Cricetulus griseus: one gene and its partners. The protein of the gene in region 3 purifies or fractionates together with the protein of the main gene of each other region. This does not show direct contact. Links are inferred from orthologs where the notes say so. Each region holds a gene or a part of one and is shown on either strand. Other genes may lie near its edges. The genes, in order: Ctnnd1, Jup and Cdh5.

Region 1 (9,792 bases), on a different chromosome or scaffold from region 3:
CTGTAAACCCATCTGAGGCTGAGTCAGTAGTCTGTCTGTGCTAGAGTGAGTCCAAGGCTAGCTTTGTAAAACCAACTCAAAAAGGGAGTAATCTAGCAGCAGGTAAATTGTAGCTTAGTGGTAAAGTGTTTGCCTGGGCCCAATCTTAACCACATGCACACAAGCATCCCAATATTCACCTTTTGAAGAGTGATATAATTTCTTTCTAATTTTTAAAATTAGAAGTTGAGGTATTTGGGGGGGTGGAGTTATTTGCTTTTTTGTTTTGTTGTACTGAGGACCAAATTCATTTGTTAGGCAAGCTTCTGCTCTACTTCAAGTTTCTATTCTAAGGTGTGTTTGACATCATCCCACCTGCTTTTGCTGCTTTCTTGTGTGCACCATGTTTACCTGCTCATTCGTGTGTTTATTCCCTTCCTTCCTCCTCCCATTCTCGTCACTTTTATTCCTCTTTGACTTTATTCTTCTAGTTAAGTAAATACCTGCTTAGAACCTCCCACATACAAGGTTCTTATCTGGTTCTGGACTTGTGTGTGTGTGTTAGTTGCTGTCTCAGTTATCCATATTTCAAATCAGGCACCTTATCATTCCCTATATTTGTACTTCTGTAAAATAAATGATGCTTCCGTCTGAATTCATTGATGTTGGTATGCCCTCTCACAAACCACCATTTTGTGGTGCTGGGTATTTGGACCTATTGCCTTGTATATGCTTGGGTGAGCTCTCTACCACTTAGCTATATCTCTACTGCTGATGTTCATTCGCACAGGAATGCACATGGGCTCACGCCTGCAGTGCACATATGCTTGGGTGTGGTGGTGGAGGTAGTGGATAGGGTTTTGCTTTCTAATAAGTCCACTCTGGCCTCAAACTCTTGATCTTCCTGCTGCTGCCTCCCAAGTGCTAGCATTGCAAGTGTGGACTACCATTTTGAGCTGTGGTATACATTTTAAAACATACTTATTATGTGTATGGGTGTCTCGTCTGCATATTTTTCTGTGTACCACATGTGTATCTGGTGCCTGAGGAGGCCTGAAGAGGGTGTCAGGTCTTCTGGGGCTTGAACTACCATGTTGTGCTGGTTATTGGGATTGTCTCCCCATTCCAGCCCCTGGTATACATTTTCAGCCTGATTCCACAAGCTAATGAAAAGTTTAGAAGACAATCAGTCAGTTTCCAACTGTAATGCCTTGCTTTTAATAGGTATGAACTGTTTATTTGTAATGAATAGAAAAGGTTTTAAGGAAGCTTTAGATGTAGATGAAGAAAGATATCAAAGAGGGCATCAGGGACTTGAGTCATCTTCAGAACTTTGTGTTTTCCCTTAGAAATGTAAGCTCAGAGAGGAGTGAAGCTCGCCGGAAACTTCGGGAATGTGATGGCTTAGTTGATGCCCTCATTTTCATTGTTCAGGCAGAAATTGGACAGAAGGATTCAGACAGCAAGGTAAGTTAATGACTGAGTGAATTTTGTTAACAAGGTAACCGTGGTTCAGATCTTCCACTTCAGGCTATCAGATAATATAAAATACCAACCCCTTCTCCTTAAAATGGGCATTGAGTTTAGAAGAAGCAAAGTGTCTGTATTTTGTGTGTGTGTGTGTGTGTGTGTGTGTGTGTGTGTGTGTGTGTGTGTGTGTGTGTATGTGTACTTCAGTGCAAGTGCACAAGAGCACAGGCCAGGAAAACATTGGTGTCCTTTGTCACTCAGGTACTCTTCACCCTATTCGTTTTAGGCAAGGTCTCACCTTGAGGTTGTATTCTTTGGCTAGACTAGCAATAAATATACTTCAGCAATCCCGTCTCTGTTCCTATAGCACTGGGTTTACAGGTACATTGGTACATTCAAGATCATGCCTGGCTTGTTGTGCAGCAGGTGCTGTGAATGACTTTACCCCTTCTCCTTCTCCCATATATATTAAAGCTGCTCAGTAGCTTCCTAGGTTATACGTTTTCTAAGTAGGGAAAACAATGACCTAAATGTCACATCATTAAATAGTTTCAGAAGCCATTATATGTCTGTAGTTAGTTCTTCTGTTAGCATGAAGATAACAAGGATTTTGAGGAGCCTAGGGCACTGAGAAAGCAACCTGAGAGAAGATGGATTGAATTATGCATTTTAGGGTTGATACTTTAATATTCAAATTATGGAGACAGGATTTCCTGGAAATCACCACAAACATTGTCTTTTCCAATTGGGCCTTTTGTTTTGTGTCCCTAAGCTTGTGGAGAACTGTGTTTGCCTCCTTCGGAACTTATCATATCAAGTTCATCGAGAAATCCCACAGGCTGAACGCTACCAAGAGGCACTTCCCAGTGTGGCTAATAGTACTGGGCCACATGCTGCCAGTTGCTTTGGGGCCAAGAAGGGCAAAGGTAAGTCTTAGTTCCTGTTCTTTAATGTGGGGGACAGGGAGGGACCACTTAGCTTTTTAGGACTTACAAATAGTCGGGAAGTCTACCTGGTGGAGACTTGTCCTTTTTTGCTCTGCTGCTGCTCCCCTTGTTCTGGATGCTTTGACGGTGGTGATGGTGATGGTGGTGATGGTTGTTAGTGTATTGGCAAATGGGGTATTGAAAGACAAGAACTCAACTAATCTGGGGCCTTCCTCCCTATTCCTCCTGTTCCTCTGCTTTCTTGTGTACTTGCCCATGATCCTGTTGACATCTTTCTCCTGCGTTTTCTTCCTTCATTTCTCTCCTCGCTTTCCACCTTGGTGATGCACTGGAAGATGAGTGGTTCTCCAGAGGTGAGTGCAATCTTTTAAGGCGCTTATCTCCTTCTAATTTGCATGTTTTGGTTTTTACCTTCCCTAATATTTCCTTGTCTAACCCTTCCCTGTGGATGCATGTAGGAAAATTTTAGTTGAGGAAAAGCATTGAAATAAGTTTTAGCTCTTCTGGGTTATGGTTTTGACCTGCTGTTTCTGGATAGCAGTCTCCATTATAAGAACTCTTTCTTAGTAGCAAGAGTGGTTATCCTTTTTGTAACAATCTATTGCCTGATTTTGGTCCTTGTTCTGCACCACCCTATTTGGACAGGTATGTGTGGGGTTTCCTTCTTTTGCCTCTTTTGATGCTGCATCTCTGATCTGAAAATTCTGACTGAAGGATGAAAAACTGAGGTGAAATCTTTCCTTCTTTTAAAAATTCTTTACTGAATTCTCTCTACCCTTCTCCCATTTTTATAGGGAAAAAGCCCACAGAGGATCCAGCAAATGATACAGTGGATTTCCCTAAAAGAACTAGTCCTGCTCGAGGTAAATTTTCCTTTTTCTCAGTCTCCAGAGAGCTCAGATACAGTTTTTGCACATGGTAACATTATTGCACATGGTAAAAGGCGAAAAGATTTATATGATGTGAAGAGAAAGCAGAGTCACTATTTCACATGGTAGCACTATATTAACAATTCTCTCTGACTTGTTGGATTTGAAGTGATGTTGAAAAATATTGGGAAACTTCACAGTATTTAGTCTCAAGTCAGAAGCTAGACTGGATGTAATAGTACCTGCCTGCAAACGTAGTACTTGGGCAGCTGAGGCAGGAGGATTGCTGTGAGTTCAAAGCCAGGTTGGGGTAGAGAGTGAGAGAATGCCTCAAAAAAGGAAAAGAAAAGCCAGAGACTTAGCTAAGTGGCTACTATTTTTTGATCTTGAACCTTACTGTCAGAAGAAATCTATCGCAGCTTGGATTTTTGGGCTCATTGTATTAATAAATATAAACTTGCTAGCTTTCCATAAATATAAAAGATGTTAGTTAAGTGATGTTAAATCTCAGGCTGTCCTTTCATTTAGTTATATTCCTGGTGGGGAGAATTACTGAGTTAAATCAGAAATAATTTGTTTGAGAGATTGAATCACTAAGCCTGATTACTCACGGTGAAAACAAGGCTTCATTTAGCTATGGAGTACAAGTCAAGGAGGAAGGAGACAGGAATTGAATATGATAGAATTGATGTCTATTCTATTTTTGCCATGGACTAGTTGTTGTTATTTTATGTTGTTTTTTGAGATAGGGTCACACTATGTAGCCCTGGCTGTCCTGGAACTCTCTATATAGACTAGGCTGGCTTCAAACTCATATCTACCTGCCTCCACCTCCCAAGGGCTGAGATGAAAAGTGTGTACATTGCTTCAGGCTAGACTAGTTATCTTTTTTTGTTTGTTTGTTTTTTGTTTTTAGAGGCAGGGTTTCTCAGTGGCTTTGGAGGCTGTCCTAGAACTATCTCTTGTAGACCAGGCTGAGATCTACCTGCCTCTGCCTCCTGAGTGCTGGGATTAAAGGCGTGTGCCACCACCTTAAGGCAGGGGGTCAGCTGGGCATAGTGGTTCTTGCTTATAGTGCTGGCATTTGAGGCTAGTCTGTGTGACATTACAATTCCCTGTCTCAAAAGAGAAAACAAAAATCTAAGAAGAAAGAGATATGGAATCAAGCCTCTGAGTTTGCTCTTGACTTTTCTTGTACAGGCTATGAACTCTTATTTCAGCCAGAAGTGGTGCGAATATACATTTCACTTCTTAAGGAGAGCAAGACGCCGGCCATCCTAGAAGCCTCCGCTGGAGCTATCCAGAACTTGTGTGCTGGGCGCTGGACAGTGAGTATCCCTGAGAAAATGGATTTGGAGATAGGAAATTTAGCTAACTCGTTTGCTGCCATTTGTAATCTTTTCACCACTTCCCATGTGCTTCCTAGTATGGTCGATACATCCGCTCTGCTCTGCGTCAAGAGAAGGCTCTCTCTGCCATAGCTGACCTCCTGACCAGTGAACATGAACGAGTAGTGAAAGCTGCATCTGGGGCACTGAGAAACCTGGCTGTGGATGCTCGGAACAAAGAATTAATTGGTAAGGATTTGAATCAGTACCTAGTACAGTGCCTGGATTCCAGCAAATGTTTAGTCATTTGTTGATGTCACCGAAGAATAGGATCTTCCTTAGTTTATATATCTGAGTGTTGGTAAAGGTTCATGGTTTAATGATTCTTAAAAACATGAAGTGATGATTCTTCAAAAACATTATAGCCACTATTATTTGTTGAATATCTGCTTTTTTTCCTCTAGGCATTGTTAAGAATTTTCCTATTTTTTCATTTGCCCAGAATAGCTTGTTAGTACTAGGCAGAGCCCAAGTTGTTGATTTTTTTAATTCATAAAGAAGACTCTGTCCCATTGAATTATCATATAATAGTAGTGAACATACTGTTTTCATTAGTTTGTGTGAAGATATCAGTGGTATATTTTGATATCTAGCATCATGTTGTCTTAGTGCACTTGAGGAAGGAGGAGGGGCTGTGGGTTCATGGCTATCTCATGTTCTTTGCCCCTTTGATATAGTCTTATGTAATAATGAAGTTGATTTGTAAGGCCCCGCCTGGCCTGACTGCCTTGTCTCCTACATGTGTTACTTTTGTCTCACTGCTATAGGCAAACATGCCATTCCTAACTTGGTAAAGAATCTGCCAGGAGGTCAGCAGAACTCCTCCTGGAATTTCTCTGAAGACACCGTGGTCTCTATTTTGAACACCATCAATGAAGTTATTGCTGAGAACTTGGAAGCTGCCAAAAAGCTTCGAGAGACCCAGGGTATTGAGAAGCTGGTGTTGATCAACAAATCAGGGTGAGCTTGTACTTAATCAGAGCTGGAAGAATTTGAGTGTAAGAGAAGAGTTTTCAGAAAGGAGCTGCCCTCTTCTGTTCTGTTAGATTACTTTACCATATATTACCCTCTGACATGTGGAGAGGTATTGATCTATTTTCATTCTTAATGCTGGTCTATAAATTGATGATGGACTCTTACATCAAATTAGTCTATTTCAGTCTTTCAGACAGAATATACAGTTTGGTGAAAATTTGATTTCACCCATTTTTACAATTTTATATTCTTGTGTTGTTACAGCAGTGACCTCAACCTGTAGGTCACTACCCCTTTGGGCTTGTCAAATAAGCCTTCACAGGGGTCATCTAATACCATTGGAAAGCACAGATAATTAAGGTATAATACATAACAGTAGCAAAATTACAGTTAAGAAGTAGCAAGGAAAGTAATTTTATGGTTGGGGTCACTACAACATGAGGAACTATATTAAAGTGTTGTGCATTAGGAAGATTGAGAACCACTGTGTTAGAGGGTACAGGTTCAAGATTTCCTGGTCGTCAGCCAAACTTTGTATGGTGTTTCTTTCTATAACTCTATAGGAATCGCTCAGAAAAAGAAGTCCGGGCAGCAGCTCTTGTCTTACAGACTATCTGGGGCTATAAGGAGCTTCGGAAGCCACTGGAAAAAGAAGGATGGAAGAAATCAGACTTCCAGGTATAATAACTCTTGATCAAAGCTTTGACTTTTCTTCTCCTCTGGTCCTTGGCTAGTGCCTCTGTCTTTGGTTTCTTCTATTTCACTATCATACTAAATCCAAGTCTTTCAGATGGTGAAGACTTTATTTGCCATACTATCTCTTAATGCAGTGGTGCCCACAGTCTCTCAATGTTGAACATGCAGTAGATGCTGCTGGTAGTGAATGGTCATTGTGTATGGCCATTGTGATCCCCCTCCCCATCTACTCTGACCCTCCATGTACTTAACATTCTCTGATTCTTCTGCCTCTAGTCCCCTAAGTACTGGCATTATAGATAAGTGCCACAGCCTAGCCTCAGATTCTTTTTCTAAAGAGTTATAGTTGTCAGTAGGAACCTAGAGAATTAAGCCCATTACGGGAAGGATGTATGAGTGAGGGCTAGGGCAGATGATGGAGAAGGAAGTTAGTGGTCCTTCAGTGTCTGAAGCAGGAAGTACATGATTAGGAGGAGGGGACAGAAAGAAGTGGATATTCATGTTTCTCTGACATTGGGTTTTATGTTTGCCTACAGGTGAATCTAAACAATGCATCTAGAAGCCAGAGCAGCCATTCATATGATGATAGCACTCTCCCCCTCATTGATCGGAACCAAAAATCAGGTATAGTATCTAAGAGGTGCACCTTTTTCTTTTTAGTGCTCCCACTATTATTTAATGTCTTATTAACTAAGCAATGGGATATGTATTTATTTCTGAATGAGCTAGACCCTGAAGAGAGCAGTAATGCTTTAACTCTGGATTATAATGTATAAGAGAATAGGTTTGAACTTAGAAATTAAAACAGGCAGGGAAGGGTGTGGTGGTGCACATTTGTAATCCCAGTCCAGGACTCTGAGGTGAAGGAAGGAGGATCAATGTGTCAAGTCCAGCCTTGGCTACATGAGACTCTGTCTCAAAAGAAAATAAAATAAAACCAAAATCAAAGCAGTTGGTGAGCTTGAGTGTGGCTCCTCTATTTGCCTGTGAACTTAGAAAGCAAGGCATAATTTTTCTGTTTAATTTCTTCCTCTTAAATTTCTGTGTTCTGTTGATTAATGTGCTTGATTAATTACTAATTAAAAATTAATGACAACTAGAAAATCTGTTATTTCTAGTGCCTAGAGAAAAAAAAAACACTATTACTATTTTAGCTTATAGCTCTGTGTGTGTGTGCACTTATGTTTTCATGTTTGTGTGATTGAACCCAGGGCTTTCTAGGCAAGTGTTGTACGTCCCTTACTGAATTAGAGCTTTTCAAACCACTTTACCATAGATGAAGTATGTATTTTGTATTGTATGTATTTTTCTTTCACTGAAAGAATGTACTGTAACCCTTCTTGATGATTTTGGCTTCTGATTTGGAGTGTGCTGTGAGGGCCCCAAAACTCTTGGACATAGGTGCTGATGGCATAAAAACAGTAGTGTTTGCACAGGTTGCTCAACATGAATGAGGGTAGCAACACTACTGAACAAATTATTTTCATTACCATGTACTCTATAAAAAGCCATCTTGACTCAGGAGCATCCTTGATGGAGCTGTAAACGTAATACCCCTAAGTACACATCGTTTAGATGTGTAGTGCTAATGAGGAGATGGGCAGCTCTTGTGCTGTATAGGGAGCCACTGTGGCTGTCTTGAGGCAGACTATAGATATTACTTATTTAGAGTGCTGTTTTACTTTGTGAAGCAGCTGAAACATGGTTATTTGGCAAGCATTTTCTCAAAAATAAATGTGGAAACCTTATCACTTTAGTTAAAAAAAAGCAGGGACCAAAGCCAGGTGGTGGTGGCACCACATTCTTAATCCCAGTCCTTGAGAGGCAGAGGCAGGCAGATCTCTTGTGAGTTTGAGGCCAGCCTGGTCTGCAGAGTGAGTTCCAGGACAGCCAAGGGTTATGCAGAGAAACCTTGTATCAGAAAAACAAATAAAACAAAGCGAAAACAACAACAGCAACAAAAACCCAACAGCAAAAACTGACAGTATTTACTACCTGAGTAAACAATATAACCACATAATTTTGGCCGAGTGTGGTGACTCAACCTAGCACTTGGAAGGCCAGCCTGACATGTAGAGTAAAACACTGTCTCCCCTCCCCTGAAAAGAAAAATCATACCCATGTTATTGAGCTTGGTAACTTCCCAGTACTTAAAAGGCTTTTTGTAGGGTCATCCATGTCACAGTATGGATGGGGACGGAGACACACACACACACACACACACACACACACACACACACACACACACACACTGCAGTAATAGAAAAATTAAAAAATAAGGTGTTAAGAATAGAAGTATCGGGCTGGAGAGATGGCTCAAAGGTTAAGAGCATTAGCTGCTCTTCCAGAGGACCTAATTTCAATTTCCAGCAACCACATGGTGGCTCACAGCCATCTGTAATAAAATCTGGCACCCTTTCTGGCATGAAAGTGTACATGCAAGCAAAATATTGTATATATGATAAATAAATAAATTTTATTTAAAAAAAAGTATAGAAGTATCTCAAGTTGGTGGCGCACGCCTTTATTCTCAGTATTCAGGAGGCAGAGGCAGGCAGATCTCTGAGTTCAAGACCAGCCTGGTCTACAACAGTGAGTTCCAGGACAGCCTCCAAAGCCACAGAGAAACCCTGTCTCAAACCCCCCCCCCCAAAAAAAAGAATAGAAGTATCAAGTTAAAAATGACTTTTATGATTATGTAAGTGATGATATAAATGTGTTTTAAAAATACACATGTATACTACTAAAATGTGTTAATTTTATAACATTTGCATAATTCTGTAAACCATTATCTTGCAGGGAGACAATGCCATGATATTTCAAAATCCTATATGAGTAATTCAAGGGCAAGACAGCTTATCCATCTATGTTTTATGATCTTTCTTGAGACAGGGTCTTGCCATGGACCCTACAATTGCCTGGAACTCATTATGTAGAACCAGTGATCCCTGCCTCTGCCTTCTAAGTGCTAAAATTATGGAAGTGTGCTTATTAATCAAAGTTAAAAGAGGTATATAAAAATGTTAAACTGCTCCTTACTTTTTTTTTCTTTTGGTCTTTCAAATTTATTATTATTGTAGACATGGTATGTTGTTGTGGGCATACATATACTGTGGCTTTCAAGTAGAGCTCAGGGGACAACTCTGTGGTGCTGGTTCTTGTATTTTTTCATGGCTTCTGGGAAATAAACTCAGGCTGTCAGGCTTGCACAGCAAGTGCTTGTTCCAATGAGCCACCTTTGCAGTCCACACACAATGCTTTTTAAATTGAAGGTGATTATGATTATGTAATAAGTGTATTTCTAAGTGGAATAGATGTTTACATTTCTGAATATAGTATTATGTACTTATTCCACACCGATAAAAGTCCTTTGCATCTTAATTTATTCTATATGTGTGTGATTTGGGACTGAATCTAAGCTTCTGGTGGCGAATGCCTTACCTACTTTTTTTTTTTTGAACATTTTAT
Region 2 (9,792 bases), on a different chromosome or scaffold from region 3:
TGGCCTGAGCTGGACTGTCAGACTGGAAGTGGGGGGTTGCCTTTGACTTCTCCTGTCCTGAGCATTGGTCATGCATGGCCCCTGTTCTGCAGATGGAGGCCACGGTGTCTGCCCAGGAGCATCTCACTACCATAGAACAGGTGCTGGGGGACAGTGGAGGAGTTCCCTCCTGGTATCGGCAGTCTCTAGAAGTCTCTGTGTCTGTCTGGTGGACTGTATCATAATAGAGTGTGTTTCTGTCTGTGCGACTGCTGGCTATATCCCAGCTGGATCTAAAGGCAGTGAGGAGGAAAGGTGGGGGCTGTTCTGTCTGGACTGACCTGTTGAAGGAGAGAGGCAGGGAGGCAGCCGCGTTCAGGTCACACACACAGTCTGAGAAACGGGGGTCACAAGATTAAATAGTTTGACTTGCTAGAAGGCCCATAACCAGTTAGGGGTGAGTTCTGATAGAGACCCCTCTGCAAAGATGCTCACCCACCACTCCCCTCGTGCTTTGAGATAAGCCCATGGATCTGAGTATCAGATAGGGTACCAGTCTCTGACCCAGAGAACCTGTAGGGGAGCCCAACCTTGCTCCCCATACAGTGGACCCGTGCTTAGTTTCTGCTCTGACGGCCAACATAGTCTTTCAGCAGCCTGTTTTCATGAGCATATTTCTTTCTCTTTTTTAATAATTCATTTTTATTTTATGTACAATGGTGTTTTTTTTTTGTTTTGTTTTGTTTTTTTGCTTGCATGAATGTCTGTATGAGGGCATCGGATCCCTTGGAAATTGAACTCAGGACCTCTGGAAGAGCAGCCAGTGCTCATAACTGCTGAGCTATCTCTCTAGCCCCTCGTGAGCATATTTATAGGTGTCTTACTGTCATGTAGCAGCCCAGCCTAGCTGTGCCTGTTGCTGACTGTCCCCTACAGGTGCTGGCCAGGCCGGAGGCTGTTGTCACTCTGGTAGGGTTATTTTTAAAGTCAGGACTGGCCGTCATTCTACAGGACAGCTTGGATGGAGGGTGCCTGATGCCAGCACCCCAGCTGGCTGTACAGAAGAGCAGGCATGAAAGGCGGGGCTCTTCCCCAGTCTGGAGCCAGTGGGGGAAGGGCCCTTTGCATACCCTTCAAGGGCTTGTGTCTTCTCTCTTCCTGTCTTTGAGCCACCCCCCTACTCCACCCTGTGATCTCTGAGCTAGCTTCTTCCTCTCCGCTGCCAACAATGCAGCAGAACTCCACCACTAGACAAAGGTTCCCCCATTCAACTAGGAAACCCGCCCTGTCCCTGTCTCTTGTCCCTACCCATCTCTGGCCCACTGCCTGGGCAGGGCCCCCACCACTGTCTCCCTCACTTCCAACTGGGTTCTGTCCAGGGGCTTTGCAGACGGTCTGACCTGTGGATCCAGGGTGGACAATACTTAGACCAAACTGGGTGCGGCTTCTCCACCCTGGGAATGGCCAAACCTGTACTTTTCGCTTGTTATGGAAGAATTTCCCAGGTTCTCTTGAGGAGTCAGTAGGGAGAAAGGTGAAGTTGATTGACGTCCTGTCTGATCCTGGAATACCAGCCTTCCAGCTGTTTCTGTGAGGAGTTCTGGTGTGTCCCCTCTCTTGCTCACTCTCAGTCTTCCTTTCGCTTGCATGGTAACACTACTGCCTTAAAATCTGAGACACCAGTGCTTTTTCTGAGATAATGGGGCCAGCCTTTCTGTGGGTGAAACCCAGAGAGGTTAAAAAAACAAAAACAAAAACAAAAACAAACCCCAGGGGTCCCCAGCATATGTGATGAAGCTGAGACCAGACCCTAATATGATCAATGCATAGGTGGGAGGTCCTCCACCTGCAAGCACCCTCATTCTTATCCTCCCCTTCTCCCCTCGGGCAGAGGACTCAACTTCCTCCAGAGGTGAACTAAATCCCAGTAAGGTAGACCCAGCATTGAGCTAAGCACCACCTTTTCTGCAGTGCGGAGCCAATCAGGAATCAGCAAAAGGCCTGCCAGCAGGGTTGGAATGCACTGGCTGTCAGAGAACTGGATGCTTGCCCTCTGATATCCTTTGACCCATGCCTGGCCCTGGGCAGCTAGCTATCCAACCCTTGGCTTCCCTTGGCTCCAGGCCTGGCCAGCTGGGCATGAGGACCAGCATGTGAGCAAACCCCTCTCAGGATGCTAGCCTTGACTACAGTGTTCCCTTCTCACCCGAGGCTGACTGTTGTGGTTTGGGATGAGCCTTCTCCTGTCTCTCTGGATCCTAGGGTTAGATGGCTATCTCTGTGGAAGGCAGCTTTGTGGTCAGACTGGGGAGCTCATGTCTGCAGGGCCTATTGTCCTACATTTCGTCCTCACCCTCTTGACTTTGCCTCCATGGGGCACTGGAGGGTCATTGCCAATGGGTTTCACCATCTCAAGAGCTTGAGTTTGGTTTTTTTGCTCCCTCCCAAGGGTGACTTCTGGGACCCACCCATTCCTCCCAAGCTCCTCAGTTCTCTCTTGGGACCCACCCTGGGGGCAGAGGACAGGATGGGGGAAGGCAGGGTTTTCCTGAGCTGGCCTCCTCCAAGCTCCTGATTTCCTACCATTGGCTTTTCGCTGCTGCTGGAGCTGGCGGGAGGGGAGCACAAGAAGGTGGAGGTAGTCTAAAATAGCTACTCCTGGCAAGTGTCTGGGAGCAGCTGTGCGCATCTGGTGGCCCAGTGCCTGCCGTCTGTGGCCTGGGCCTACTGCTGTTTATCAACCCCAAACGAAACTCTGAGTCACCCAGGGTGGCGGGAATAGAGGAAGGCGGCCGCTGGGAGCTGGTGCTGCCCTCGCCTGTTTTAGGACTGCTTGTGGCAGGGGAGGGAGGGGCTGTGTGTCCCATGAAGGGCAGGGAGAACATTCATCAAGGTCTCCTTTTTTCTCTCTGAAACAGTGTCTACCTCTGTGGCTGACTCCCACTGGTAATTCCTGTATCCCAGTCTCCCAGGTACTGGCATGACAGGCGTGTTCTGCCATGCCCCTCTGTCGTCACGCTCTGGGAAGGGGCCCCTGATTCTCTTTGTTCCTGGGGTGGCGCCTCTCGGTGCCATGCCCCACCCTCATGTTGCAGGGTTCCCCCGTCATGCCGGCCACCACCCCATTTTAGGAGTGGACTAGCCTGGGCTCTGCTCGTTTTCTGAGGTCATATTGGAGTGCAGAAGGTGGAGACCTCACTGTTAAGCCTGCCGGTCCTTTCTGGTTCCATTGCTAGCCGGTTTCTACATTTATGAGTTGGGGAACAAAGCTCTGAAACCCACGAGTGAGAATGATGGCATTTGTGAGGTGTCTGGAGGCATGTGTGAGAGATGTGGGCACATAGTAGGCCCTCAGACATTCCGTCATCTCTCTCCCTGGCCGCCTGTGTCTGGGTGGTGGTGGTTGTGATAGGGTCAGTGTCCACAGATGTGGGACCAATTAGACCAAATGGGAAGCCCACTTGAGGTGGGTGCGGACACTTCCTCATGAGCCTTCAGATGACCCCAAGTCCCCAGAGCAGGGTGAGATTCCTCAACCGCAGTGACCACCCCAGAGGCCTGCCAGCTGCTAGCCTGGGTTCCAGGAAGTGGAAACTGAGCAGCATCCTAGGGGTGAGGCAATATCCTGGTCCCCAACACTGAACACCTACTAAGTGCCATCCATAGTGGGTCCTTCTTCCCAAGCACTGTCCTCACAGCAAGCAATCTGTGAGAGTGGTGGAACCGAGAGCCGGATTGGCTTGGAGTAAGTGGCCAAGATTTGAACTGGTCTGTAGAGCTCAGATGCTGGGAAAGCTGGGCACTAGAAGAGGGGAGGGCCTGGTTAGGCTCACCTTCTGGAAAGTGAGACTCAGGAACGCTGAGGGAGCCAGGTGTGCCGGAGAAACCTGTCTGACAGCTTCCCCACCCCACCCAGTCTCTCAGCCAATGGCTGGTTGGGTGCTGCAGCCTCTGCAACCTTCCCCAGGGAGCTGCAGCAAGTCTGCAGGGCCCCTGCAGCTGCCTGAAGCCCTTAGTTCCTTTGCCACTTGAAATACTGGCTTGGGACAGACTGGTGAGTGAGCTTGGGGCTGGCCTGGAAGCGTCTGGCTGTTTCCGTCTCCACACCAGAGCTGGGGATGCCAGGCCAGGGCTTAGCCACAAAGGCTCCTCTGCAGCTCTACTCTGCCTAGGCCGGCTTCTGGTGGGCAGCACCTTTCTGGGCTGAGTGCCCTTCTGCTTCACCCCTGCACCTTGCTGTCTGAGTTCCTTGAGACTATGGTGGGGTGTCAGAAGAAGGGCAGATTTCAGGGAAGATGGCTGCAGCCAAGTTGAAACTGGAGGTGGTGTTGTCCCTCCAGCCAGCTAACATTGTGCTCTTGTTCATCCTTAGCAGCCGCCATGGAGGTGATGAACCTGATTGAACAGCCCATCAAGGTGACTGAGTGGCAGCAGACGTACACCTACGACTCAGGCATCCACTCAGGTGTCAATACCTGTGTGCCCTCAGTCAGCAGCAAGGGCATCATGGATGAGGATGACGCCTGCAGCAGGCAGTACACACTCAAGAAGACCACCACCTATACACAGGGGGTGCCCCAGAAGCAAGGTGTGTTCTCCAGGGTTGTGTTTTGTTTTGTTTTGTTTTTGTTTTTTCCATGGGGCAGGAACTCTAGCTAGATCCTGGTGGGAGGTAGATCAAGGGAGTCTCTGGTTTGAGAAGTTCCTATTCTTGGGGACTTAGGAAGTCTGAAGGGGAACATGTGGCTACTCAGAGACAGACACAGATGTCACTTCCATAACTCTGAATGTGTAGGGAAGCATAGGCTCTGCCCAGCGGTGCCAGTGGTTGGTAGAGTGGGCCCACACTTGGCTTCTGGGATTCTAGGGATGTAATAAGGAGACTTTATTGCCACCCTCAGTGGGAACGTGGGCATTATTGGGAAGACACACATCTGATGAGAGAGACCAGGAACAAACCCTCCATCCCAGTCTGGTGGTAGCGTCACAGTGTTCAAGCCTAGACGGGCTAGAGCATGACTTGCAGATGTCCCAAGGACAGGGCACAGAGTCGCTGAGTCAGTTTTGGGTCCTGACACAAAGGCGAATACTTGGCCAGTCCAGGTGCTCCTTCCTCTCTGGGACAGAGGTGCACGTAGCTCTAGGACTGTCATTCACAGATGCCCCCAGGGCCCTAAATATTCCAGGTAGTGGGATTTGGGGCCTGGACAGTTGCAGGGTGAGCAATGGCTGGTCGAGGCTCTATGAATGTGTCCCAGGTCTCCTTCCTGGCCCCAGGCAGGAGCCTGTGTGCCTGGCAGGGCCAGGTGCATGTTGGGAGCTAAAATAAAGTGTACAAGTGGGAGAGCCCTGTGGGCAGCCTCGCCTTCCCCATTCATTAGGGAATAACTCTCTGCCTGACTCTCTACTGGGGCATCGGGACATTTGTTGTGACTTTTTTTTAATAGCCCCAGCCTACCCCAGAGGTAGAACCCTGTGTTTCCCTTGAGGACCTTTGCTCCTGCCTTCTCAAAGCCACAGTCCCGTCCTGTCTCTCAATTGACTGTGTGATCTTGGGTGGTGCTCTGGGACTAATTTTGGCCCCCTGTGTATGGAGAGAGTTGCTATTTTGTGGAGGGTGAGTATATAATTAGAATGTTGAAGTCTAGCTTGTCTAATCCCATGACTGCCCTGCCGGTTACAGGTGGAGGAGGGGGCGGGACTTTGGGCACCCGAGTCCACTGCTTTTATGACCTTTGAATTCAGTGTCCTGCAAAATGGAGATAGTATTATACTTGCCTTGTAAGATGGTTGTAAGAGTAAATGATAAAGTAGGAGAAAGGTATTTAACCCACTGTCAGGCAGATGAAACACCACCATTAGCTCTTCTTTTTTGTTTGTCATTATTTGTGTGTGTGTGTGTGTGTATGTGTGTATCTGTGTGAATGTATACACATGTGTGGGCGAGGGTACCCTTGGAGGCCAGAAGAGAGCATCCTTTTTAAGATCCTTTAGAACTGGGGTTACATTGTTTGTGAGCTGCTTGATGTGGGTGCTGGGATCTGAACTCTGATCCTTGTGATAAACCATTTCTCCAGCCCCTGGTCTCATGTAACCTAAACTAAACTGTTTTGTTTTGTTTTTTAAAGATTTTATTTATTTATTATGTATATAACTTTCTGCCTCCGTGTACTCCAGAAGAAGGCACCAGATCTCATTACAGATGGTTGTGAGCCACCATGTGCTTGCTGGGAATTGAACTCGGGACCTCTGGAAGAGCAGTCGGTGCTCTTAACCTCTGAGCCATCTCTCCAGCCCATAGCCTAGGCTATCTTAAACTCATTGTGTAGCCAAGGATGACCTTGAACTCCTCTTGCTGCCACTTATGAAGTGCTTTAATTAATTACATAAGTGTCCCACCAAGCCTCATTTTATTCATTGTTGAGAGTGGAACCTTGTTAGGCAAGCATTCTACCAACTGAGCTACATTTTCAGCTATAGCTGTTAATAATTATTGCTGAGCTGGCCATGATAGCAAGGGTATATGATGTCCCCCATGTACTTGGTAGACTTGAGGCAGGATTACAAGTACAAAGTAAGTTCAAAGTCAGCTTGGGAAACAAAACATTTTTAATTTTTTAAGTGTGTGTGTATTTGCATGTATGTATGTATGTATGTATGTATGTATGTATGTATGTATATACACCAAATGGGTGCAGTACTTATGCTGGCCAGAAGGGAGAAGCCCAAACCTCCTGGAACTCCAGTAAGCTATGGCTTTGAGCCACCATGTAGGTGCTGGGAATGGAACCTTGGTCCTCTGCAAGAGCAGTAAGTGCTCTTAACTGCACAACCATTTCTCCGGCCCCCAATTTTTTTTTTTTTTTTAAGACTGGGAATATAGCTCAGTGGTTAGATGCTTGCTGAGCAAATGTGAGGCCCTACTTTTACTCCCCAGAACTGTACTGCAGAACAATATGCAGTACTACATATATAACAACATATTGCTGTAGACATTTTTTGTAATGATAGTTGTCAGACAAGAGTCTTTTCAAAGCAAGTCATGGCTGTGATCTTAGTTGTCATAGAGTTCCCTGTGCTGGGTGGGCTAGATGGGCCTCATGCTATAAATAAAAGCAATGGCAAAGATGATTTCCCAGAACCTTGTTAGGTATAGAGTCCTGAGTGATGCCCTATACTTTGATGGAGCACGAGGCAGCTTGGAGCCGTGTCTGTGTGGCTTACCTTGCTCTTCAGGGTCCCTCTAAATCTCCTGTAGCTCAGTCCTTGTGTCATTTGTCTTCCAGGTGACCTGGAGTACCAGATGTCCACGACGGCCAGAGCCAAGCGGGTGCGGGAGGCCATGTGTCCAGGTGTGTCAGGCGAGGACAGTTCTCTACTGCTGGCCACCCAGGTGGAGGGGCAGACCACCAACCTGCAGCGGCTGGCAGAGCCATCCCAGTTGCTCAAGTCGGCCATTGTACATCTCATCAACTACCAAGATGACGCAGAGTTGGCCACCCGGGCCCTGCCTGAGCTCACCAAGCTGCTCAACGATGAGGACCCGGTCTGTGAAGGGCCTGGAGGTGGGGTGGGATAAAGTTAGCTGTCCCCAGAGGGAAGGAAGCCATGAGGCTGGCTCCCCACAAAGTGTCTGGCTCATCTAAGCTCTGTGGAAGGATGTCCTGTCCTTTGCCTTCCTTCCCTCTGTGGAGGAGTTGCCTGGACTGTATGCTCAAGGTCTCATACTTCCTTTAGGTAGTGGTGACCAAGGCGGCTATGATTGTGAACCAGCTGTCCAAGAAGGAGGCATCCCGCCGGGCCCTAATGGGCTCGCCCCAGCTGGTGGCGGCTGTGGTGCGCACCATGCAGAACACCAGTGACCTGGATACAGCCCGTTGCACCACGAGTATCCTGCACAACCTCTCCCACCACCGGGAGGGGTTGCTCGCTATCTTCAAGTCTGGAGGCATCCCTGCGCTAGTCCGAATGCTCAGGTAACTTGCTCCTCTGTTGCACAGGCGTCAGGGGCCTCCCAGCATCCTTTTATACACACATGTGAAGCACCACACCCATCCTGGCTCTCAGCTGCTCATAGCCCAACCCAGAGACAGTAACGTAAACAACAGGCTGACTGTTAGGATCTGTAAGTTGTAGCAACAGAATGGTTGAGATTGCCCAGAGGCAGACTCGTACTGAGGGCAGGGCTTTGACAGATGGGTGGATTTGGTCAGCCTTGATCAAGGAGAGGCTATCCTAGCAAGAGAAGAGCATGTCTGAGCCCCACCCGACCATGCGATTTTTTTCTCCTCTTTCCCGGCTGAGATGAGTGGGAGTTCTTTGAGGGGAATTTCACTCCCCTCTGTAGCTGTCACGGGGCCTCTGCTATGTGACCTTACACACAGTAGTGACTCAGCTGTTCAGGGACCTGGTATATAATTAGGACGTGCAGGACCTCAGAGGCGGGAGTGAAGATGCGCTGTGTGCTGATGTCATTAGGACTGCGCTCGGCTGGCCATGGTGGTGCTCACCTTTGATCCCAGTCCTCAAGAGGTAGAGATCTCTATGTATTCCAAGCCAACCTGGTCTATACAGAGAGTTCTAGGCTAGCCAGGGCTGCATAGTGCATAGTGCAAACTGAAAACCCGTCTTAAAAAAAAAAAAAGGAAGAAAGAAAGAAAGAGTGGGACTGGATCTTGAGGGGAGTAGAGACACTGGGTGGGGAGGAGCTGATGGCTCAGTCAATGAGGAGTTTACCTCTCAAGCATGAGGACCCAGGTTCAATCTCCAGCACCCATGTAAAAATGCTGGATGCAGTAGAGGGCATTTGCAGCCCCTGCCCTGGGGAAGCAGAGACTGGAGGAAGCCCTGGAGCTTGCTGGCCAGCCAGTTTAGCCTAAGGAGCTTGGGCCAGTTAGAGACCCTGTATCTGAGGAGGGGGATTGTGTTCCTGAGGATGACACCTGAGGTTGTCTTCTGACCTACACACACACACACACACACACACACACACACACACACACACACACACACAAATTAAAAAGAGGGGCTGTGCTCAAGAAAGAATGACACTTTAGGGTATTTCATTTAGATACCTCTGTCAAAAAAGTTACTGGTTATCCCAGAAGGAGCCATTTTAAATACCATAAATACTCCAGCATCTAAGGTATCCTCATTGTCTCCATCTCTTCCTCAAGTTGTTGTATCTGCTAGTCAAAATCCTGCCTCTGTCTTCCCTGCTTTTCGATCATCTGGTTCAGAGAAACCTGACAAAGCTGCATCTTGAATTTAGACTAAATGAGCCAGTTTTTAAATAACGGGGCATTGTTTTAACTCCCATAAAAATTTTAACTGTTTATTATACTGTTGAAAACATACTGTTCATACTGTGTGTCTGTGTGTGTGTCTGTGTCTGTGTGTGTGTGGTGTGTTGGGGTGTGTGTGTGTGTGTAGGTGTATGTGTATCTTCATTAGCTTGCACAAGACTTTGTTTTCTTGGGGAGGGCAAAATATACCATTTCACTCATTGGTGTGAAGATGTTTTCCAAGATTCTTTGTTTAAAATATGTCATCAAAATTTACCTGTCTATATAACATAAATTTAACAAAGTCAAGTTTGACTAGTTTAAGTAAGCTAGCCTTTTCATAATTATATTGATGTTTCTTCTTAAATCTGGACTGTTGTGGTGTATCTACAGTATAGTATTCTGTGTCATTGGTGACATTTTATTTTTGTTTCTGTAATGCATTAAGAAAATGCAGTCCATGGTGTAAAATTGTACATATTCCTTAAATCCCTAATAATCTGTACTAAATATATGTACAAAGAACAAA
Region 3 (10,353 bases):
CCTGCAGATCCCAGAGGCAAAAATCCCACAGATGCTGCCCACTAGGATCTGGCATGATGGAGAGTGCAACTGCAAAGGGAAAGACAGGCGGACCAGAGGGCCGGGAAGAAGTGGCCTACTTCTCTCTTCCCATAACCAGAGCAACCAATGGACACCTTTTGGCTAAACACAGCCAGAGGCCAAGGCCAAGGCTAGGAGTCCCAGGGGAAACTCTGTGGTTCAGAGCAGAGGTTAGTGAGGGCAAAGAGAAGATCTAGGAGACAAAATGATCTACACAAATGCTCAGGATGGGGTATTATTGTTACTGCTCTTTCGAGACCAGATCTTACTATATAGCTCAGACTGGCCTCAAGTTCCTGGCAGTCATTCTACCTCTGCCTCCCAAGTCCTGGGATTACAGGCATGTGCCACTTAAGGACTGTGTTCAGGAACAAGCACAATAAGCAGGCCATAATCCTCCGATGATGGTGACAAGCTACCACAAATCTGAGGGCTTAAAGCACATGTGTTTGTTTATGTATCGGTTTACCGTTCTGAAAGCCAGGAGTCTGAACTGGATCAGAGAGGGCTGAACTCAGAGCTGTGACCCCTCTCCAGGCTTCAAGAGGAACTGGTGCCCAGGCCTCTTCTAGCTCCAAGGGCCATTTGTGTCACTTAGCTGGTAGTCTCTCAGCACCTCAGGTGAGTCTCACTACATCTCTTTGTGGTGCTGGAATCCAGACCTTCACATATTTGAGACAAGTGCCCGACTGTAGAAATGCATCCTGAACCCTCTCTCTACATTTTATTTTATTTCACTTTATTTTTGAGGCAAGGTCTCATGGCTAGCCTCTAGCTTCCTAGGTGGCTGACTGTGACTTTTGAACTTCTGATCCTCTACCCTCTAAATGCTGGGATTATGGGCATGTACCACCATACCTTGTTTGCATGGTGCTGGAGATAAAAAATGAGGCTCTGTGCATACTGGGCAAGCAGTCTACCAACTGAACTACATCCTTATTTGTGAGACAGGGTTTCCCTAGATCACGCAGGCTGGCCTTGAACTCACTCTGTAGCCAAGGAAGATGTTGGTCTTGAGACCCTCTTGCCACAGCCACCTAAGTAGCTGGGATTAAAGGCCTGATCCACCAGGTCTAACTCCAACTTTCTTTTGAATCTGACCCTCCTGCCTCTATTTTCAAAAGACCCTGGGATTATTCTAGGTAGCCTAGGATCGAGTCCCCATCTTAATTAAGCCTCAAGCAAGATCCTCCACTTAAGTATATCTGCCCAGTCCCTCTTGCTGTGTAAGGTAACCTTTTGGGTTCAGTGGACAGGACATGGATATTTGGAGGGCATCGTTGACCTACGACACTGATGGAGCACCTCTCCAGTGCCTTGGCCCTTGCTGTTCATTTCTGCCTTACCCAGGGTACATGGTAACTGTCCTTCTAAATCAGGGCTTCATTCCTGCTGGTGCTGTGTCCTGAAATTCTCTTCCTCCCTTTGGCCTTCTTAGAAACACTCAGGCGTGACCTTAAATAATTTCCTGCAGGGGCTGTGAGTGTAGTTCAGTGGTAGAGCACTTGCCTAGCACACACAAGGCCTTTGGTCACACCTCCCTGCCACCCCCCCCCAGTGTCACAAAATATAATAAAAGCATCTCCAAAGTGCTACCCATGGCTGCCCAGTCTCTGATGGCTATTTCACAGCTTCATCTCCCAATGGGATTGCCACTGTCTGCACTTCCTTTTGGTCCCAGTGTGCCAAACAGCTCTGGGACAGCTGTGTTCCAAGGCCCAGTGGAGTCCAGCATCCCAGAGGTCTCACCCCCAGCAGCAGCGCAGAGTTTAGGCTCTCACCCTCTGCTTACTCCAGGGCTGAGAACTCTTCCCCTCCTTCTCTGTTTCACTTCCTACTATATTACTTTTCCATTTCCTAGCTGCTTCTTCCTTGAAGGGAACAGAAAAACCCAAGCCTGGCAGTCCCTCCCGGGGCCAAGAAGGAAATAAGGAAATGACTCACATTACTGCCTGCAAGGTGAAGGCAGAGGGTCATATTACCACCACCCCCTGCCCTAGTCAGGACCAGATTCCTGGCAGATCTTCTGCCTCCACTCCTCTCCCCCACCCCTTTGTTCACTGTCTTCCTCTGCCTGGCATCTTACTCCAAGGGCCCCCAGAATGTTCTAGGCAGACCCTTTTGTTGATGGTTGAACAAGTCAAGGCCTGAGAGAGAGAGCTTCCCCTAGGCACACAGCACAACACAGGGTCTTGTTCCGGGATACTGGAGTCCACTTCCTTCTAGGACAGACTTGAACCATGGGTGCTAAGGTCAGCACAGACAGCCCAGCCCTCGCTGAGGCCAGCCTGGCGCCAATGGTCCAGAGATGATGTTACTAGAGTTTACAAACCTCCAGTGAGGCACAGGATCCACCCCTTCCCTCAATAGCAGGGGAGGAGGTCATGCCTTCCAGCTCCCTGAAGGCCCTCAGCTCTCCCCAGGCACACATTTTCTTCCTCCATACTATCCTAGGATCTGCAGGTCAGTGACACAGGGACCTGGGATGGGTGGCATGGGGAGGTTAGAGCTGAGAAGCCATGGTGATGACCGATGGACATGGCCTCCAACAAAAATCACGAGGCACTGGAAATTTTCCATTTTTGAAATTTAGAATAGAGGCAGGACTTGATCTCTGGGTGACCCACATTCCGAACCTACAGGTGGCCTTCCAGAGTGGACAGCCTACACAGCTGCACAGGGCCCTCACTTAAAGGGGCCCTTTGCAGTTTAAAATTCTTTTATCTCTATCTCAAAATTCCATTTTTAAAAAAAAATATTAAGACCCACCACTCTGTTTTACACTGGACCCACAAATTATGAAGCCAGCATGAATACACAGCCTCTCAACTCCCACCCAACCCATCCTCTAAAGTGGCTATCACTTGTGAGTTCTGGAGTGAGAGGCTAACTCCCGGATTAAGATGTTTGGGATTTCCTAGGAGCCCTTTGAAGGCCACATCAATGCTAGAGGGGCTTCCAGGCTGGAGTGAGCTGGAGAGATGTTTGGAGGAATCTTTAAATCTAACCCAAGCAGCTAGTGGGGCACAGAAGGCATCAGGAATGAGCTGAAATTTGGGGCCACACAGATTTAGTCCAAGTCTTAGTTCTATTCCTTACAGTCTGTGTGATTTGGGGAGGTTACTAAGTGTCTCTGTGTCTCAGTTCAAAAGCAAAATGAGGGTCACAATTACACCAACCTTGGAAGTTGGGAGGAAGATTAAATGAGATAGAGTGTCTAACAGGCTTAGAATGGAGCCAGGCAAACAGTGAACTCTCGATGACAGTGACTGATTGTGATCGATGTCTGGGCTCTATTCTCAGCTGTGCTACTTATTCAAAGGTGAAATTGGCCTCTCTGTGCCTCATCTGAGTGTCCCCATGAGCACTGGCATTACAAGTGTCCTTCCCAGCCTGGAGATCTCATCCCCCTATGCCTGCTTTCATGCCAGCCTGTGTGGGTGTAAGGAGAAATTGTTTCTGGGCTTGCCTTCCCCACTTAGACCAGGGTCTAGTTCTGCTGGTGTCAGCTGAATGAAAGATAAAGGAGGAGAGAGACAAAGGAACTTTGGTTCCTAGAGTGAGCTGCTCACACTCTAGGACAGTAGCCACTATACCCTGATATTTTCGATTCTCTTTCCCCAGATCTGTTCCTCCTGAAAGGATGCAGAGGCTAACAGAGCTGGCCGCTGCTTTGGGTATCTTCTTGGGCCTGCTGGCAGCGGCGGCAATGGCAGGCCCTAACCTTCCCCAGCTAGACACCCCCAACATGCTGCCTGCCCACCACCGCCAGAAGAGAGACTGGATTTGGAACCAAATGCATATAGATGAAGAGAAAAATGCCTCACTGCCCCACTATGTGGGAAAGGTAAGCCTTGGGCTCCAGGGTGATGGAAGTTATCAACAACTGGACCATAGTCATGGCCTTTGTAGCACAAATGGTGATGACTACAGGAGTGGTTGTCACTGAAGGGTGACAGCAACAAAGATAAGAGGTGGTAGAGGTGGCGAACATGGTGGCAATAATGGTGAAGGTGACAACTGTGCTGATAGGAAAGAGAAAGTGATGATAATGATGGTGATAGTGACAGTGATAGGATATCTAAGGAAAATAAAGACGTTGATAATGATGTCAATGGTGTTGGTGGCAGCGGTGGTGGTGGCGGTGGTCTTTGGTCATTTTGAGAGTGAAATTAAAGGTGATGAAGTTACAATCATGGCGTTGGGGTGGTGATGATGGTGGTGACCATGGTGATAATGGCAGTAATGGTAAAATGAAAGTTGTATTAGTTACTTTTCTGTTGCTGTGACAAAATATCATAACCAATCACAACTCAAGAAAGAGGTTTTTTTTTTCTGGTTTACTTGTCCAGAGGGATAGAGTCCCTCGTGGAAGGGAAGGGGCAGTATGGCAGTTGGCACAAGAAGCTGGCTGGTCCCACTTCACCTAACACGGGAAGCAGAGAGAGAACAGTAAATGAGGCAAGGATTTAAATCCCCAAAGCCCACCCCCAGTGGCATACTTTCTCCAGCAAGGTTCCAGTTCTAAAATGTTCCATACTCCTCCCCCAATAATGAAGTGTTGGGATACATGAGCCTATGGGAGACGTTTCTCATTCAAAACCTAGCAGAAGGTGAGGGAGGTGAAGGTGGTTGTGATTGTGGTGACTGTGGTGATGTGGTAATGGTGGCAGGGATGATGAAAGGGAAGGTGAGGACGTTAATGGCATTGGTGATAGTGATGACATCATAGTAATAGAAAATGGGAAACTGAGGAAGCTAATCGTGATGGAGGGGGCGGTGAGCGACATCGGTGTTGGTAGTGGTGATGGTAACAGTGGGAGAAGCGGCAATTTTGTGATGGTGATGGTAATGGGGATTGGGGAGGTTTGGTGGTGGTGGGAATGATGACTATGACAGTAATAGTGAGGAATAAGACGCTGAAGTTAACAGTGGTGGTGGGATAGGGGCGGTCATTGTGGTGATGGCAATAGTGATGGTAGTGGTGATTGGTGACGGGGAAGGTGAGGATGCTAACGGGGTGATGGTGGTGGCGGTGGCGCTCTTGGTGGTGGCAGTGGTGGTAGAGGTAAGAGCAATAGTAAAGAAGGTGAGAGAGTTGGTGGTTGTGTTGGTCTTGGTGATGACAGTGGTGGTGATAATGGAGAAGGTGCTTTCCATAGTAATAATAGTTATGGTGGTGATGCCAGTGATAGTAAAGGAGGAGATGATAAAGATAATGATAGTGAGATAGCAGTGGTGATTGTCATGATGATAGTGAAGGGGAAGCGAGGGAGTTAATGCTGCTGGTGGTGGCCATGGTGGTAGCAGTGAGTGAAGGTGATGGCGGTAGTGGTAATGATGACCACCGTGGTTTAGTAAAAGGGAAGTTGAAGGAGGTTATGGTGGTGATGATAGCTGTGATGGTCATGATGGTCGTATGACATAGTAATGGTGACACCAGCAGTGATAGTGAAAGGGAAGGTGAGGACGCTATGATGGTAGTAATAGCAGTAATGACGGTGATGCTGTTAACAATGATCATGGCAGTGATAGAGAAGAAGGTAATGGAAGTGGTGGCTATGGTGACAGTGGTCTGAATGATGAGGTGATGATTTGGATCTTAAGATATCGCCCTTATGTCATGTGCTAAGTTTGTTGTTACCCTGTGGTGCTATGGTGGCCTAGTGGGAAGTCAGTAGTAGTGTGCACTCAAAGGTGATATTGGGACTCCAACCCCCCACCACGCATGCTCTGCTTCCTAGATACCATGAGGTGAACAGACTATCTCTGCCATGGGTTTTCCATCGTGTTGTTCTCATTTCCACAGGCTCAACTCTAGACAAACTAAGGACATGGTCTTACTTGTGAGCCTTTAAATTAGTGCATTAAAAATAGACCAAATACTTTACAACAGGATGATAGGAAAGATGCCTTTAGGGCACCTCAGGAATCAGCAATACACCACCCACATCAGATCCAAAGACTTGTTTGAGAAGAGAGCTCCAGAGCACTCTACACTCACAGGACTGGCTATGGAATCATTTCCCCGGGATTGGGATTCCCTCCAGTGTGTTTAACCCATCAGGTACTCAGTGGACACTGTGCTCATGATCTGAGATGGCACGGCTATTTTTGGAGCCAGGGTTGTACCTGGCTATCATTCTCATGAGGTTGGGGTGTGGGGTGTGGGTACACAGATGTAACAGTTGTGGGGTCAAAGAGGCTTTGACCAAAATTTCAAAGGAAAACTGGAAGGTCAAATAGCATGGTAGGTTTGGAGTCCTTGAAGGCAACCCTTGAGAAGATGGTCTACAAATCTGTGAGAATGAAGGTAAATCTCTAATCGAGATTCCAAAAAGTGAGTTATGCCAGAAAGGCAGAAGTAGAGCCAGATTAAGGGAGATACCATGGATACTGCAAACAGATAGGCCACAGGGGACAGACTACCTAAGCCCTTGTACCCAAGATGCTAGAAATGGAACTATAAGATTCGATGTGTTCCACGCTAGATTTCTATCATTCTTGAGTCCAATTCTCCCTTCTTATCTTAGTTTTCTTTTATATTTTCTGTGATAAAATATTCTGACAAAAGCTATGTCAGGGAGAAAAGGTTTATTTTGGCTCACAATTCAAGGATACAGTCCATTATGGAGGGGAAGTCAAGGCAGCAGGTGGTTAAAGCAGCTGGTTCTATTACATCCACAATCAAGAACAAAACAATGAATGCTTACTCGGCTCACTTTCTCTTCTGTATTCAGTCCTGGACCTCTGCCCAGGGAATGGGTCCACTCACAATGGATTCCACTCAATTAAAAACAGGAAATCTCTCAAAGGCATGCCCACAGGCTCCCCTGACATAGACAGTCCCTCACAAGTGAGCACAGAGGTTTGTCTCATGAGTGATAATAGATTCAGTCAAGTTGGCAGTTAACACTTTTCTCCTTTTTTTTATTTAGAGAATACTTTATTAGTTTTTGTAATCAAACCCATGTAGATAACACCTTATATATTTAATACAGTGCGTTACCCCTGTACAAATGGAAAAAAAATTAAGTTCAACATTTCTAGACCAATATGGGTGTTAATTTCTGTGCAATGCCAACGCAATACGGTAAACTGGGATACTTAACATTTTCCTCTTTATGAGACAGGAATGCTTGTCCTGTACCGTTGTGTCTTGTAGTGTGTAGCTTGGCTTTTATTTTTAAAGGCCCAAAGCTTCCTTGAGTCTCAAAGGACACTTCCTGTGAGCAATGCAGGAAGTGTAGCTATAGCAGGGACTCTTGAAGAAACACAAATACACAGTGTTTGTGAGACAAACATGAGCCCTTGGTAGTAAGAGCCAGAATGTTGTCATTCAGGGCTGGCAAGATGATTCAGCAGATGAGGGTACTTCTGTATCAGCCTGACAACTTGAGTTCAAAAGTGGCAGGCGAGAATACACACACACCTGCCCTGTGTCACATACATGCACACAAAACTTACTTGTTTGTTTTGCTTGCTTGTTTATGGGCCAGAAAGATGGCTCTTTAGATGACCTCTCTGGGTCTGTAGATTGTATTCTGACAACCTGAGTTCAATCCTCAGGCCCCACATGGTAGAAAGAGAGAAATAAACAACTCCCACAAATTGCCTCTGAGGTTGATGCATGTGCGCACGTTCATGAACACACACAAAAAGACTAGTTAGTTAGTTAGTTAGTTAGTTAGTTAGTTAGTTAAAACAGAATGTTATAGTTTAGTGTTCAGGTGGAAATCCTGCAACAGTTTAGGTCTTCAGTGTCCCCTAAAGATGATGTGCTAAAGGTTGTGGCCCCAGTGAGGATGGTGAAATATTTCAGAGTGAGGCCTAGGAGAAGAAAGCTAGATCATTTAGGGATGTTCCCTTGAAGTAGATCTGGGGACTCTGGCCCCTCTACTCTCTCTTTGCTTCCTGAATGCCATTAGTGAACTATTCTCCTCTGCCACATGCTTCTACTAAGATAAACTGCTTTACCACAGGCCAAGGCACAGAGCCTCTGTAGGGGAAGCTGTAGCCACGCCTACTTAGGGGCTGGCTACAGATGTGCCTGACCATGCTTGCGAGGGCGTGGCCGGGGTGACGGGGTGAGGTAGAGCAAGACTTGAAGGGGACTGCCTCTCTCTTTCGGTTTCACTTTTGGGCTTTCGTACAGACGGCTGCCAGGCCTCCATAATCATGAGTGGTAGTATCAGAGACTGTGGCAGTGATGATGCTAGTTGTATTACTTTCACATTTCTTTCTTTTCTTCTTTTTCTTTATTCTTCTCTCATACAATACATCCTGACTACAACCTTCTCTCCTCAACCCCCAGATCCATTACTCTTCCATTTCCCTATCAACCAAATATGGCATTACAAGATGCAGTAAGACTAGGCATAAACCTTCATATCAAGGCTATACCAGGCAACCCAGTAGGAGGAAATGGGTCCCACAAGTAGGCAAATAACCAGAGACGTCCCCTCTCTCACAGTCAGGAGTCCCACAAGAACACTAAGCTACACAACCACAGCATGTATGCAGATGACCTAGTGCAGACCCATGCAGGGTCTATAGTTGTCGCTTCTGTCTCTGGGCCCCTGAGAGCCCTGCTTAGTTGATTCTGTGACCATTGTTCTCCTAGTGTCCTCAATCCCTCTGGCTCCTCCAATCTTTCCTCCCCATCTTCTGAGCTCTGCCTAGTGTGTTTGGCTGTGGGTCTCTGCTTCTGCTCCCATCAGCTGCTGGATGGTACCTCTCTTCTGACTATTGGGCTAAGCACTGATCTATGGGACAGCAGAGTATCATTAGGAATCATTCCATTGACTTTTTTGTCAGTCATGTTTAGTTCTACCCTAGGTCTCTGAAATATCCAACTTCCAGATCCTGACCATCCAGGCAGTGTGTCTGGCATGGGCTCCCTCTCATGACTTGGGCCTCAATTTGACCAGTCACTGGTTGGCCATCCCACAAGCTCTGAGCCACCAGTGCTCCAGCACATCTTTCCGGCAGGACAGATTATGGGTCCTAGGTTTTGTGGCTGGGTTGGTGTAAACGTTTGATCACTGGGAGCCTACCTTGGTTACAGGAGTTGGCCATTTCAGTCTCCATATCCTCCATTACTAGGAGTCCTTGCTAGGGTCACCCTCATAGCTTCTGGGAAATTTCCACCGCACTAGGGTTCCACGTCACCCCCTAAATGCCCACCTATTCCAGTTTGTCTCTCCCTGTACTCTCTCCCTCCATCCTTCCCTCTGCAGCCTGATCCCTCTTGTTCTATATGCACCTGCCCCCAGTCCACCCACAAAATCTATTCTATTTCCCCTTCCCAGGGATATCCAGGGATATTCCCTTAGACCTCTCCTCTTTATATGACTTCTCTGGGTCTGTGGATTGCAGCGTGATTATCCTTTCCTTAACACACCCCACAAGGAGCGTCTCAAAGGAGGGTTTACTTTGTTCAAAGTATAAGAAGGGATACAGTCCTTCACATCAAGGAAGATATGATGGCTTAAGTGTGAGGAAGATGGTTACAATGTGTTCTCAAGTCAGGAAGCAGAGAATGAACAGGATTTAGGGCCATGCTGTAAAATCTTAAAGCCCACCCTAATGATCCACTTCCTCCAGCAAGGCTCTACTTCCTAAAGATTTTACAATCTTATAAAATGGAGCCACCAGCTGAGAACTAAGTGTCCAAATGCAGGAGCCTATAGGAGTCATTTCACTTTCAAGCCACAATATTAGTGAAGGGGATAAGGAGAGATGAGAGTTGTCCTAGTTAATGTTTTGTTGCTATGAAGAGCAACTCAAAAAGGAAAACTTTTAACTGGGGCTGGCTTACAGTTCAGATGTTCAGTCCATGGTGGGAAGCATGGCAGCAGGAAGGCAGACATGGTACTGCAGAGGTAGCTGAGAGTTCTCCATCTAGATCTGCAGACAGGAGAGAGAGAGAGAAAGAGGGAGAGACTGGGCCTGGCTTGACCATTTGAAACCCCAAAGCCCACCCCAGTGACATGCTTCCTCCAAAGAGGCTACATCTACTCCAAGAAAGCCACACTTTCTAATGCTACATCCTAAGCATTCAAATGTATGAGCCTCTGGGGACCGTTCCTATTCAAACCACCGCAAGAGTGGAGGCCATTACAGAGATCACAGTGGTGATGTTGATTCAGCAGTGGAGGTGGATGTGATGGTTGGTAAAGGAGCAGGTGATTGTGGTAATGATGGTGATGCTAGTGACAGTGAAGGAGCTGGAGAAGGTGGTAACAGTGGCGATTATGGAAATGTGGTGATAATGGTGGTGGTGGGTGGTCC

The links.
Region 1: the proteins of Cdh5 (region 3) and Ctnnd1 purify together in Homo sapiens (affinity purification with western blotting; 3 studies listed by BioGRID and IntAct, counting the BioPlex papers as one, with this or other methods). This does not show direct contact. The link is inferred for Cricetulus griseus from reciprocal best matches to the Homo sapiens genes CDH5 and CTNND1.
Region 2: the proteins of Cdh5 (region 3) and Jup purify together in Homo sapiens (affinity purification with western blotting; 3 studies listed by BioGRID and IntAct, with this or other methods). This does not show direct contact. The link is inferred for Cricetulus griseus from reciprocal best matches to the Homo sapiens genes CDH5 and JUP.

The regions. Positions count from the first base shown.
Region 1 is NC_048599.1:90,922,420-90,932,211, forward strand, and holds part of Ctnnd1 (catenin delta-1), read left to right. Parts: intron 1-1,328; coding exon 1,329-1,446; intron 1,447-2,221; coding exon 2,222-2,375; intron 2,376-2,731; coding exon 2,732-2,749; intron 2,750-3,190; coding exon 3,191-3,259; intron 3,260-4,465; coding exon 4,466-4,593; intron 4,594-4,691; coding exon 4,692-4,842; intron 4,843-5,420; coding exon 5,421-5,613; intron 5,614-6,191; coding exon 6,192-6,306; intron 6,307-6,860; coding exon 6,861-6,948; intron 6,949-9,792. UniProt on the Homo sapiens protein: Key regulator of cell-cell adhesion that associates with and regulates the cell adhesion properties of both C-, E- and N-cadherins, being critical for their surface stability.
Region 2 is NC_048600.1:113,441,807-113,451,598, reverse strand, and holds part of Jup (junction plakoglobin), read left to right. Parts: intron 1-4,351; 5' UTR 4,352-4,359; coding exon 4,360-4,567; intron 4,568-7,265; coding exon 7,266-7,525; intron 7,526-7,716; coding exon 7,717-7,955; intron 7,956-9,792. UniProt on the Homo sapiens protein: Common junctional plaque protein. The membrane-associated plaques are architectural elements in an important strategic position to influence the arrangement and function of both the cytoskeleton and the cells within the tissue.
Region 3 is NC_048596.1:180,280,228-180,290,580, forward strand, and holds the start of Cdh5 (cadherin-5), read left to right. Parts: upstream 1-3,703; coding exon 3,704-3,907; intron 3,908-10,353. UniProt on the Homo sapiens protein: Cadherins are calcium-dependent cell adhesion proteins. They preferentially interact with themselves in a homophilic manner in connecting cells; cadherins may thus contribute to the sorting of heterogeneous cell types.